Linked DNA regions of Coturnix japonica. The protein of the gene in region 1 interacts with the protein of each later gene in a pairwise test. Links are inferred from orthologs where the notes say so. Each region holds a gene or a part of one and is shown in the gene's direction. Other genes may lie near its edges.

Evidence for each region. The genes of interacting proteins can lie anywhere in the genome.
Region 2: the proteins of PLIN1 (region 1) and ABHD5 interact in a protein complementation assay, tested with the Homo sapiens proteins (3 studies listed by BioGRID, with this or other methods). The link is inferred for Coturnix japonica from reciprocal best matches to the Homo sapiens genes PLIN1 and ABHD5.

Annotation. Positions count from the first base shown.
Region 1 is NC_029525.1:11,486,296-11,492,078, forward strand, and holds the start of PLIN1 (perilipin-1), read left to right. Parts: upstream 1-1,876; 5' UTR 1,877-2,175; intron 2,176-2,336; exon of another isoform or gene 2,337-2,700; intron 2,701-2,846; 5' UTR 2,847-2,860; coding exon 2,861-2,905; intron 2,906-2,957; exon of another isoform or gene 2,958-3,357; coding exon 3,358-3,556; intron 3,557-3,650; coding exon 3,651-3,733; intron 3,734-4,079; coding exon 4,080-4,332; intron 4,333-4,523; coding exon 4,524-4,753; intron 4,754-4,826; coding exon 4,827-4,979; intron 4,980-5,500; coding exon 5,501-5,734; intron 5,735-5,783. UniProt on the Homo sapiens protein: Modulator of adipocyte lipid metabolism. Coats lipid storage droplets to protect them from breakdown by hormone-sensitive lipase (HSL). Its absence may result in leanness. Plays a role in unilocular lipid droplet formation by activating CIDEC.
Region 2 is NC_029517.1:37,635,234-37,640,273, reverse strand, and holds part of ABHD5 (1-acylglycerol-3-phosphate O-acyltransferase ABHD5), read left to right. Parts: intron 1-1,097; coding exon 1,098-1,209; intron 1,210-1,821; coding exon 1,822-2,008; intron 2,009-4,229; coding exon 4,230-4,319; 3' UTR 4,320-5,040. UniProt on the Homo sapiens protein: Coenzyme A-dependent lysophosphatidic acid acyltransferase that catalyzes the transfer of an acyl group on a lysophosphatidic acid.

The DNA of each region.
Region 1 (5,783 bases):
CCAGTTTACCTAAAGTCATTGTGGTCGTGCTTGGAATTACTTCCACTCTGAATGTGAAGTGTTTGAAAATAGAGGTTGCTGAGCAGGGTAACTAAGTGTGTCTGAAGACCAAACTTGGCTTATAGCAGCTCTTCTTTTTAATACTGAAATGAATACCACTAGAAGTAGAGCACTCTGCAGGTCAGGCCTTAATGGATGTGTTGTCTTCAAGGGCTTTTTCTTGCTACTTGTTTAAGGGTTGGGTTTTTTGTTGTTTCTTTACTCCATGTGCCTTTGAGCTGCTGGCGCTGTGTGGTCCATCCCTCTCTTGGTCAGATTTGGCCATTATCATAGTGTCAGCAACCTGGTAAGGAAAGGAGAGGAGTGTTGGTGATCTACCAGCAGAGCCCTGGACACTCTTTGCCTACAACATGTATCTTCTTGCAAGAAGCTGCATTATAAATTCCTCTCAGGGGACCTCTTGGGTACAAATCAGATCTTAGGCTGGTTTGAAGACTGATTCCTCTTTTTCCCATGCAGTTCATGGGTAAGGGGGAATGGATTCACACACGTATGTAGCCCTGGCTTAGATAGATGTTCCTGTGCTCTGCAGAGGGAGCAGGGTGGTTTCTTGCCCACGTGCCCAACAAACACCGTGCAAAGACACAAACCAGTCCTTGATGCTCTTCCTGGAGGGGCTGGGGTGGCTCATCAAGTACAGACTTAACCTGGGAGATGCAGCAAAGAATTTTCAGCCTTTCTCAGCCTTACCTGTTCCATTTGGCATAACACGGGTCAGAGCATACAGGAGTAACTTTACTTGATCTCAAGCACTAATACTGCCTTTCTGCTCCCCCGCTGGGGGATAGCAGTTTAACGTACCTTAATGTAATGTGACTGAAGCCATGGGATTGCAAGCAAATGGAGAAAATCCTTTTAGTGCCTTTTGTGTGTGTGTTTCTAATTTGACAGCTGGAATAAGGTGAGCTGTTTGAACACAAGCAATAAACTTTGGTGTGTATGACACTGCATCTGTGTGTGACTTTGAGGGTGGGGAAAAGCAAAGAGATTCTGAAGGAGTCCCCTCTCAGATCACTGAGATTTCTGGAGTTGTTACAGATGTTTAATGATGAATTAAGGGCAGAGAGTGGAGACTGGCATCTCCATCTGTGGTGGGGAGGGATGGAGAAGGGATAACCAGTGCTACTGAGCTCCTACTGGTATCTTACTGCTTACTCCTATCCCCTGCAACAAGAGCTTTACAAAGGCGAAGGCTCCAAAACGTCATCCCCTGAACAATATACAAAGCATTGCATGCAGCAACGATTTAGCAAGACTTTCCTTCTGAATGACTGCTCTTACACACGCATTTCATAATAGTAGCAATTAACAGCAGAATGGTAAGTGAGATAAGTAATCTACTCAGACAGGAGGCTTTCCTAATGTTAACACTGCTTGGTGTGGTATTTCAGGAAGGGTGAGCTACTCAGCATTCCCAGGTGAGCAGCAGGAGCGACCAAAGGTCTAAAAACCAACATCTCCAGGGAGGGATCAAATGAGCCGTTTTGTAGAGGAAAGGTGACTGAGGGAGGGTGCGCGTGTGGAAGGTTTGCAGTCAAGTGTAAGGCAATAAATTAGTCTCTAATCCACCTAGGGGGTAATACACATATATTGTCACAAAAGGGAATTAAATCGTGACTGAAGAGATTGCCTGGGATGACAGTGCCCCATAGGAAGGGGAGGGGATGGGCACAAGTAGGGCAGAGGCTGTGCTGTCTGCTGATCCCTGATCTCACTGGGCAGAGGGAAGGCTGGCATTGCTCCTGGTATCATGCCCCTTCACCATGGCCAATAGAGCAGAGCTGTGAGCAGGCTGCTGCCCTTTGTCCCACTGTCTGCAGAACCCTGAATCACCGCAGCACTGTGCCAGAACCTGACAGACACCCACATGCCTCTGCCTGGGGTGAGCCCGTTAATGCAGGGCTGTGGGTAAGCCCAGGCTCTTCCAGGAGTCATGGAGCACTAAGATCACCCAGTACAACCATCAGCACACCCCCACCATGCTCACAGACTAACTCCATCAGTGCCACATCCCCATAGTTCTTGAACACCTCCAGGGACAGTGACTCCACCACCTCCATAGGCAGCCTATTCTTCCTGCAGAACACTGCCCATATGCCTGCCCTTCTGGTCCAGGTGAGTAAGGATCCAGCCAGGTCTGCTTTCTCTGTGCTGACATTCCCTTACTTTGTTAGCAGTAAGGGAAAGTGCTCCTGCTCATCCCCACTCAGTCCTTTTACCCTCCTGTCCTGCTGCTTGGCTACACCACATCCACTTTTCCATCCCTTCTTCAATTCCCTTCTCTGTATTGCACCAAACCCAAGCTGCACACCCACACTTTCTATCCCCCCCGCTTCTCACCGGCCTTGGTGCACTGCCACAGTGCTGCACAAACACAGAAAGGTCTTAATCTCTTTTGCATCCATCATCTCCTGATTTGACGCATGGGGATGATTTTGCAGCCATCCATCCCACAAGATGAGAACCTTTGGGGAGCTGTTTGCTCAGTTTCCCCAGCAACGCACGTCCCCCCAGCCCAGCCCAGAGGTGGAGCCTGGGGGTAGTAGTGCCCCAACACCACATATCCCAGGCACAGGACCCGAGTGAGGACAGATTGCTGAGGAGCTCTAGCAGAGGAGCATTGGCTCTAGAGTTTAACTGGTAAAAAGTCAAAGCTTGGGCAATGCCATAAGCACAGCACCCAAGGGAGCTGTGTGGCCCAGCCCAACCCAAGCACATCACGCTTTGAGCCCCAGCCCAGCTCAGACCTCACTGCACAGTCTGCAGCTCTGCACTTTGCTTTGCAGGAGGACGTGGCACAATGACGGCAAGGAAGAACCAGCCTTTGCAGAATGGAAGGGCCAAGGTGAGTGTGGGGAGAGGGAGAGGAAAGGGCAGAGGAGGGGAATAGCTCATACCGTGCTGTCTTGTGTGTTATCTTGGCTTGTAATAATACGGAGCAGCCATTAAAGCACGACCATTCACATACCTGCAATTAAATAACTGAGAATCAACAAAGATAACCTTGATAGCAGCCTTCAGCACTGTATCAGCAGTACCTATATTTCATCTTTGTCCCCATGGTGGACCAAAAACCTCCAGCAATGCACAGCTGGGAGCACAGCTACAGCCACTGGGGTCACTTATCCATGTGATTTCTGGGTCAGCTGGCTCCATGGCAAGATGAAATTAGCAGGAGGTGTATTTTCCTTATTGAACACGCAGATTCACAGACCAGTCAGGCCACAAAACCAGACTCAGCTTCTCTTGAGGAGTAGCTGCTGGCTGGCCCCTAACTGGTCCCCATCTGATGCACAGGAGAACGTGCTGCAGCGGGTCCTGCAGCTGCCGGTGGTGAGCTCAACCTGCGAAAGCTTGCAGCGGACCTACACCAGCACCAAAGAGGTCCACCCAATTGTAGCCTCGGTGTGTGAGGTCTATGAGCAGGGCGTGAAGGGTGCCAGCGCCTTGGCCATGTGGAGCGTGGAGCCTGTGGTGCGCAGGCTGGAGCCCCAGTGTGAGTCCATCAGGAGGGATGTGGCGGGGTACCCTCAGTGGCACAGCCCCCAGCCTTAATCTCCACCCCGTTCTCATGCTTTTGCCCTTGGCAGTCTCAATGGCCAACAACTTGGCGTGTCGGGGCTTGGACCACCTGGAGGAGAAGATCCCAGCCCTTCAGTATCCTGTTGACAAGGTAAGTCATGGGTGGGAAAGCCTCTGGGACCCTCTAGGCCCCCCTGCAGAGCCCACAGTACTTCTCCTCTGGGACAGATCCTAGTTTTGCTTCCCACCTGGTCACCAGTGATGGCAAAGGGCTTCCATAGAGCACCTCAAAGCAAGGACTTGGCCACAGGTGTGGTTGAATTGCTCCTCAGTATAGGCCAGCAGTGTCCTGTATGGCTGGCTACCTGCAGCCCAGGCTATAGGAAATTGTTCTGCTGCTCTAGGTTATGTCTTCTTGTGCAGCCCACAGTCACTCCAGCTGCCCCGTGCCATCCAGAGCACATCAGAAGGGCTCTTCTCTATCTCTCTGCCCGCAGCTTGCCTCCAAAGTGAAGGACACTATCTCCACCCCCATCCAAAGTGCCAAGAGCACCATTGGCAACTCTATGGACAAGATCCTGGGGCTGGCAGTGGAGGGCTATGAGACCACCAAGAGCACCGTGGAGACCACAGCAAGGTACACGAGGAGCAACTCAGTGAGCCAGATGGCAGCTGCCGGGATGGACACAGCTCTGGATGGGCTGGAGAAGCTGATGGAATACCTGCTGCCAGAAGAGGAGGAGGAAGCAGGTAGTACTGGTGCCAAGATCACCTCGGGGTGTCCTGGTAAGGTCTGCTGGGGTGGAGGAATCACCCAAGGCTGGCACCATGGAGGTGGGGTCTTGTTGATGGGGTGCAGGTAGAAAGAGGAGGATCTTGGTGCAGGGCCGTCCCATCACGCTGTAACATCCCACACTCCCCCTGTGCTATTCTGCCTTTAGATCTGAAGCCCAAGCAGCCCTGTAGGCCAGCAGCAAAGGTCTCACAGCAGCAGTCCAGGACTTACAGGGCTCACAGTGCTCCCAGTGCCCCCAGCAGTGCACCCAGCACCCTGGGCCGGATCGGAGCCCTGGTCAGCACTGCCTCCCACCGTGCTTACTATCACACCGCCCAGAACCTCCAGCGTGCCAAAGCCAAAGGGCAGGAACTGGTCGTCTGGATCCCCATCCTGGTGAGTCCCAGCCTGTCCCAAAGCCCTGGGACCTGGGACTCACCCCAAGCACTGGTTTCTGTCCCCCCTGCAGGGCAGTCTGGTCAAGCCAAGCCAGCCCGTGGTGCAACAGAGCCATAGTGAGAGGCAGAGCACTGCAGGCAGCTGGCGGCAGAGCAGGATGCCGGAGCAGAAACAGGAGAAAGCAGAGAAGAAGGAGGACAAAAAGAACAGCCATGCTGGTGAGGTAGGGAAAAATGAAGGTAGTGGTGAGATGGGGTCATCTCGGTCCCACCATGTTCTCGTTCTCTTCTCCAACAAGCCAAATCAAGGCACTTCCCTTCTGGCATTCTAACAGGGGCTGGGTGCAGAAGGACCCAGCAATCAGCATCTCTTGCTCAGTCCTCCTTAGGAGAAAAAGCCCTGAATTCCCAAACAGGGCTGCAGCAGCCTCTGGGCCAGGCAATGCTCCAGTTTCCAATCAGCACCTTGATCACAGTTGTTGATCTGGGGTCTCAACACAAAACATACTCCCACTGTGGTCCCAGCAGTGAACAGGAGGACCCTGGCTGGGGGTGTGGAGGACTTGGGGTACCCTGCTGACAGCACACAGGCTGGAGGACTTACCCTGGAGGTAGCAGCTCTTCTGGGACACAGGGGCAGGAAGCTGCAGGTCGGGGTCGGTGCCCTTCACCTTCACTTACAGCAGAAACGTGAGGTCCCAGAGGGCTGGGGTCTGCCTTAAATGATGGTGTTTTCTGCCTGCAGGCAGGGGATGGCCTTGGGCTGGTGGGCAGCATGGCTCACAACCTGCAGAGTGCCTGCGCCTCTGGCATCTCCACTGTGAAGAAGGTCCCCGCTGTGGCCTGGGATGCGGCAGAGGGGTTGATCCTGTTCACACCACGCAGGCTATCCAGGGCCATGGAGACGGTGGATGCTCTGGGAGGGACGCTCATCAGTGCCCCTAAGCACCTGCTGGGCAGCCTGTACAGCTACGTGCCGGTGAGTGCACCCCAGCACCTTGGGGACATGCAGGGAGCAGGTCCCACCC
Region 2 (5,040 bases), on another chromosome or scaffold:
GTTGCAATAATCTAATCCCAAGATTACAAAAGCATAGATTACTGTGACACGGTCTATGTAAATAGTGCCAGGCCTATGGCCAGCAACAGGTGGGAAGAAGTGACATCATCGTAATTGCACGGATTAACAGCAGTATTTTCAGTTGGTAAATTCAACTGGTAAACTGTGAGCCAACATCTGCTGAGGTGAATAATATTCCCAGACTCAGAATGGGTCTTTGTGAGGCTCTTGCCCCAAAGATCTATCTGGTCAGTTAGAGGAGGCGTATATCTTAAGGAGGTGATTCAGAATGGTAGCTTAACTGGCTTTTGAAAGGACCTGCCTCTCTTCTATGTCTGTTAAGAGAGGTTGGAGATAATAGCTTTCTTAGGTTGAATCTCTTATTTTATAGAATCATAGAATTGTAGAATCATTTAGGTTGAAAAAGACCCTTAAGATCATCAAGACCAACTATCGATGCTTCCAAGTCTATCAATGCTCCAGGTTCCACACAAGATGTCTTGTACTCATGTCAAAAATTCTACACCTGTTTTTCAGCATGGACGTCTGTTCTTTCACCTAAATGTTAGTCAGATGAAGTAGCTTCAGAAAAAAACCAGACTGTTATGTAAAAAAGGAGTACAGACTTATATCTAGAGAAAAAGAGCCTAGCTTTTTTCAACAGTGCCTTTTGGTTCTGAAAGGCAGAATGCTTTTGGTATACCCAGAGCTGCCAGAGCAAGGGAAAGGAAAACGTTGGTATCCGGCAAGAGTGCATTTTTATTAAAAATTTTATCTGCTTAGTCCTTTTGCTGATCCCCTTTGCATGTTTCTCCTATTGCCACAGTGGCCATTCAGCAATATTCTCCATATGTATTCAGTAGGGATTGAGTTGTCCCTCTTCTGGGGCAACATAAAGTCCTTCAGAATAATTATGTTTAATTCTTGTTTGCCACCATGTTTTCCTAAGACTTACAAGTGGTGAAATTAAGTGCAGTCATCAGAGTTAGCCACAATTTTCAAGGGGGCACGTTTGAAGGGTTGTAAGGAAATGTGTTCAGCAGTCTGATAGTTTTCTCTGCCAACTCCTCCTATAATAGCATTTTCTGTTTTGACAGGCCTAAGCCTTGTTCAGCGCTTAAGACCAGATTTCAAACGAAAATATGCATCAATGTTCGATGATAACACCGTGACTGAATATATCTATCACTGCAATGTGCAGTCACCCAGGTGAGTGTGAGTTTCATAGTGTGCGTTTTGAAGTCTTACTGATGGCCTGCTGCTCCCTCCAATGGTCATGGCAACAGAGTGCATGCTTTTTCTTTCTTTTTTTTTTTTTTTTATTGTAACATTTACTGTATTGATTAAAGACAAAAAAATCTACCTTTGCCCTTTATGTGCATTTCAGAAACTGGTGGATGTAGAACCTGTACCAGTTCACTAGTTCTCTTAAACTACTATAATGTTCTAGTTCTGAGAATTGGAGCGCTATTTTTTAACCAAAAGTTGTTATAGTTTGTTAATAAATCATTTTCTTTAAGAACTTGAAAAAATTGACACCTCTTTGTTTTTAAGTGTTGTTACCCTGTACTGAAGAAAAAGAAAAAAAAAAAAAAAAAAAACAACCAAAAAATAATCACTGAAAAACAGATATTGAAATTTGCAAATTGAAACTTTGCAAACCTGCATTCCTTAACAGTCAGAATTTCCATCCTCAAACACTGTTACAGCCATATAATCAGAAGGCACACATACTTGAATTCTTAGGCAGGTACTGGGAAGGGAGAAAAGGCAGATACAATGGAAATTTAATTACTTTTACCCTTTTTGAATGCCTTGAAGTGGTGAAACAGCTTTCAAGAACATGACTATTCCTTATGGATGGGCAAAAAGGCCAATGCTGCAACGGATTCCACAAATGGATCAAGACATTCCTATCACCGTGGTTTATGGAGCACGTTCATGCATAGATGGTAATTCTGGCAGCACTATCCAGTCCCTGAGACCAAAGTCATATGTGAAGACAATAGTAAGTTCACTTTTTAAGCAGTTGCTTAGTTCGTTGTGTGAATTTGTTCAAAGCGTATCTGTGCGATCTTTATACCAAGTGTTGAAATGATAGCTCTGATTCATGGACTTAGGTAATAACTTCTGATTTCTTCAACAGAAAAAGAGGAAATAAGTTTTAGATCAAGCTTAAAACAAACAGAAGTCTTTTTTTCAGAGTAAGAGAAAATAAGAAAGCTCTAGAAGCTGAATCAGATCTTTGAGCAAGATCGCTTTTCTACTTTACAATTTTTTTTTGCTCTAGCATGCTAATACAAGTAGTTTTTGTGGTCACTGGTAAGTACTTATGTTTGTCTGTCTCTTTTAAACCTTAGCAGTCTGAGTTTCTACAGATACATATGACATAATAAGAATGCTCTCATAAAGTGTTTTAACCAGTTTGTATAATACTTCAATTTCTCTGCTAAGAAAGTGGTTGTTACTTGTTGCTTAGGTTCTTGGAAGCATCTTTCTTTAAGTCATTACAAAAAAAACTTGGTGTTGTCTGTGGACCTAATACATTCTTATTTTAGAGGCATGATACTGTCATTTCAGATGCACATGCCTCTAACTTAGTACAAATGTGCACACTGTGTTTTTGATGGTACCTATAAAAACAAACCATTTTGGAAGTATTTCTCCTGTATTGTCACATCTGCCAGACATGATAATTGAATATACTTGCATGTTCCAGTGCTGTGATAGAAGGTTTGAGTGTGCCAGCTGCTTTCTTGCTGATGTCTAGTTCTAACTGGACAAAAGTATATAATGTGATATTAACTTTGACAAGTCATTGAAATAAAATTTTGTAATCTAGATATAGCTGACATCAGAGCAGGAACATGGAGAAAAGATATTGATGTTGAACAACTTACACATGTTAAAGAACATAAATACATTTTGTAAATGGGAACATCCAGATCCAAAAGTGCTGCTTTACTGCTTAACCCAAGAATTAGCTTGTAACATAAGAAACCACACTATTAAGAATCATACCATATAGAAAAACTTCATTGTATACCAAGTTAAAATGCAGATTGTAAAAGGTAAATTGGGATGGTGGAAATTACAGAGGCACGGAAAGACATTCACAGCGCTGTAGGGGCAAAGGGGTTCTCCTGAGGCTGAGACTTGCTAGAATGCATAGGGCTTTATTGCATGTTATTTAGATTATTATTTACTTTGATTTGTTGTTCTTGTTTTTTAAAACACTAAATTGGCCACACTTAAAGCAATGTGCTTCCATTTAGAGACTTAAGAGGAAGCGTTTTAATGGAGGGGATGACAGAGGAAAGTAGATTTAAATACAAATTAATCTCAAACTGACCATAAACTTAAAATAGTCAAGTACCTTTGACCTACAGTATGGCGAAGACTTGCTTCATGCTAGTTTTAGCAAAAATGCAGTCACCACAATGTGTGTGGTTACTTAAGCCCTTAATTTTTTTTACACACTTGCAATGAAATAATCTAGACCAGAAATACACGGGGTATTTTTCCCCATATATTGCATCATTTGGATTTGACTTTTCCCTGCTTTACGCAATACTGTTTCACTGGGAGGACTGAAGTCTGCTTCCACAAGGCTAGGGAACCCTCAGCAATATAAGCCTCTGAATTGGTAATCCTTTATCCCAGTATGTTCTTTAGAGCTTCCCATATAATTTTGATAATAGCAAGGGAATACGGATGTTTAGATGCTATCTCTTCTCCAAACACAGAACTAACAAGCTGCTCTGCAGAACTGTTTGAGCAGCGAATGAAAGAGATGAGAGTTGTTCAGAAATTTGATATGTATGGTATGTTCTCCTTGCTTTGTTTTGCAGTGACTTGTGTTTACCTGGATCTTCTTTTCAACAAGTTGTGCAATGGAAAAGGCGATTCTTTTACCCTTTATTCCTGTTTAGCACAGTTCCTTCCATGGGCGAAACAAACATTTGTTTTTCCGTCTGTTTGGAGTCTTTTGTTGGTTGTATGGTACCACCTCCTGGCAGCAGTTGTTCTAACTCTGTTAACACACACTGGCTGCAATAGATCAGTTTCAGTTCTAGAATTGCTCTTTCTAAGTAATAGTGTATCAGTGTGTAGAAGCCAGGTTTAGGATATTCATTTCAAGGGGGAGTATTCCTCACCTAGCTCAGTATTTACTTATGCGTTTATGGCATTCTTGCCCTTTTAACTGTTTCTTCACCTTTGTCCTCCAGGCTATCCTTGGTGCAGGTCATTACGTGTACGCTGATCAGCCTGAAGACTTCAACCAGAAAGTGAAAGACATCTGTGATTCTGTGGACTGACCATCTTCTGTCCTTTAGAGTCTTACACCGTAGACACCATTTAATAGCAATACACTGCAGGAAATGACTAAAGAATGCGGAGCTAATGAAACAGGCTCTGTTTGCACACTGTTTCTTCTAAGAAGCAATTTGCACACTTAAACCACTAAGTGCCTTTTGGGCCTAGGTAGATTTGAAGCAAATGTACAGTTTTATTTGAGATTTGTCTGTAGACTGTTGGCCTGCCGTATATGAATTTACTTAGGACTTCTTAAACTGGAATTTTCTTTAAAATGCAATTGAATATTGTTCACCTGTTGAACTCTATCTAAAGATGTTGAATTCACCACTAACACAGACATCAGTATCAGTGTGGATATAATGTATAAATTGTGGGCTTGTTTATTCATAAACATTCATATTTTCTAGTTGATGTTTCATAGCAAGAATATGAAATTGTTCTGTATTTTGTTTATGGAATCCAGAACTCCATATACAATATTTTAAGACTTTGAGTTTGTTTGTTTGTTTTAAATTGGACTGATAACAGCTTATGAAGCTGATTTTGGGAAAGAGACTGGGCCAAAATAATGGGCAGTGCTTTTCACTGAAAAAATGTATGGTAATTTGTAAAGAATCAGAACTCAATACTAGAAAATCTCTCTTCTCTTGTATTTCATTTCTCTTTATCTTAAGGCATCCTTTTCCACATGTATAGCTTTTACAGAAGCCTCAGTTTGTA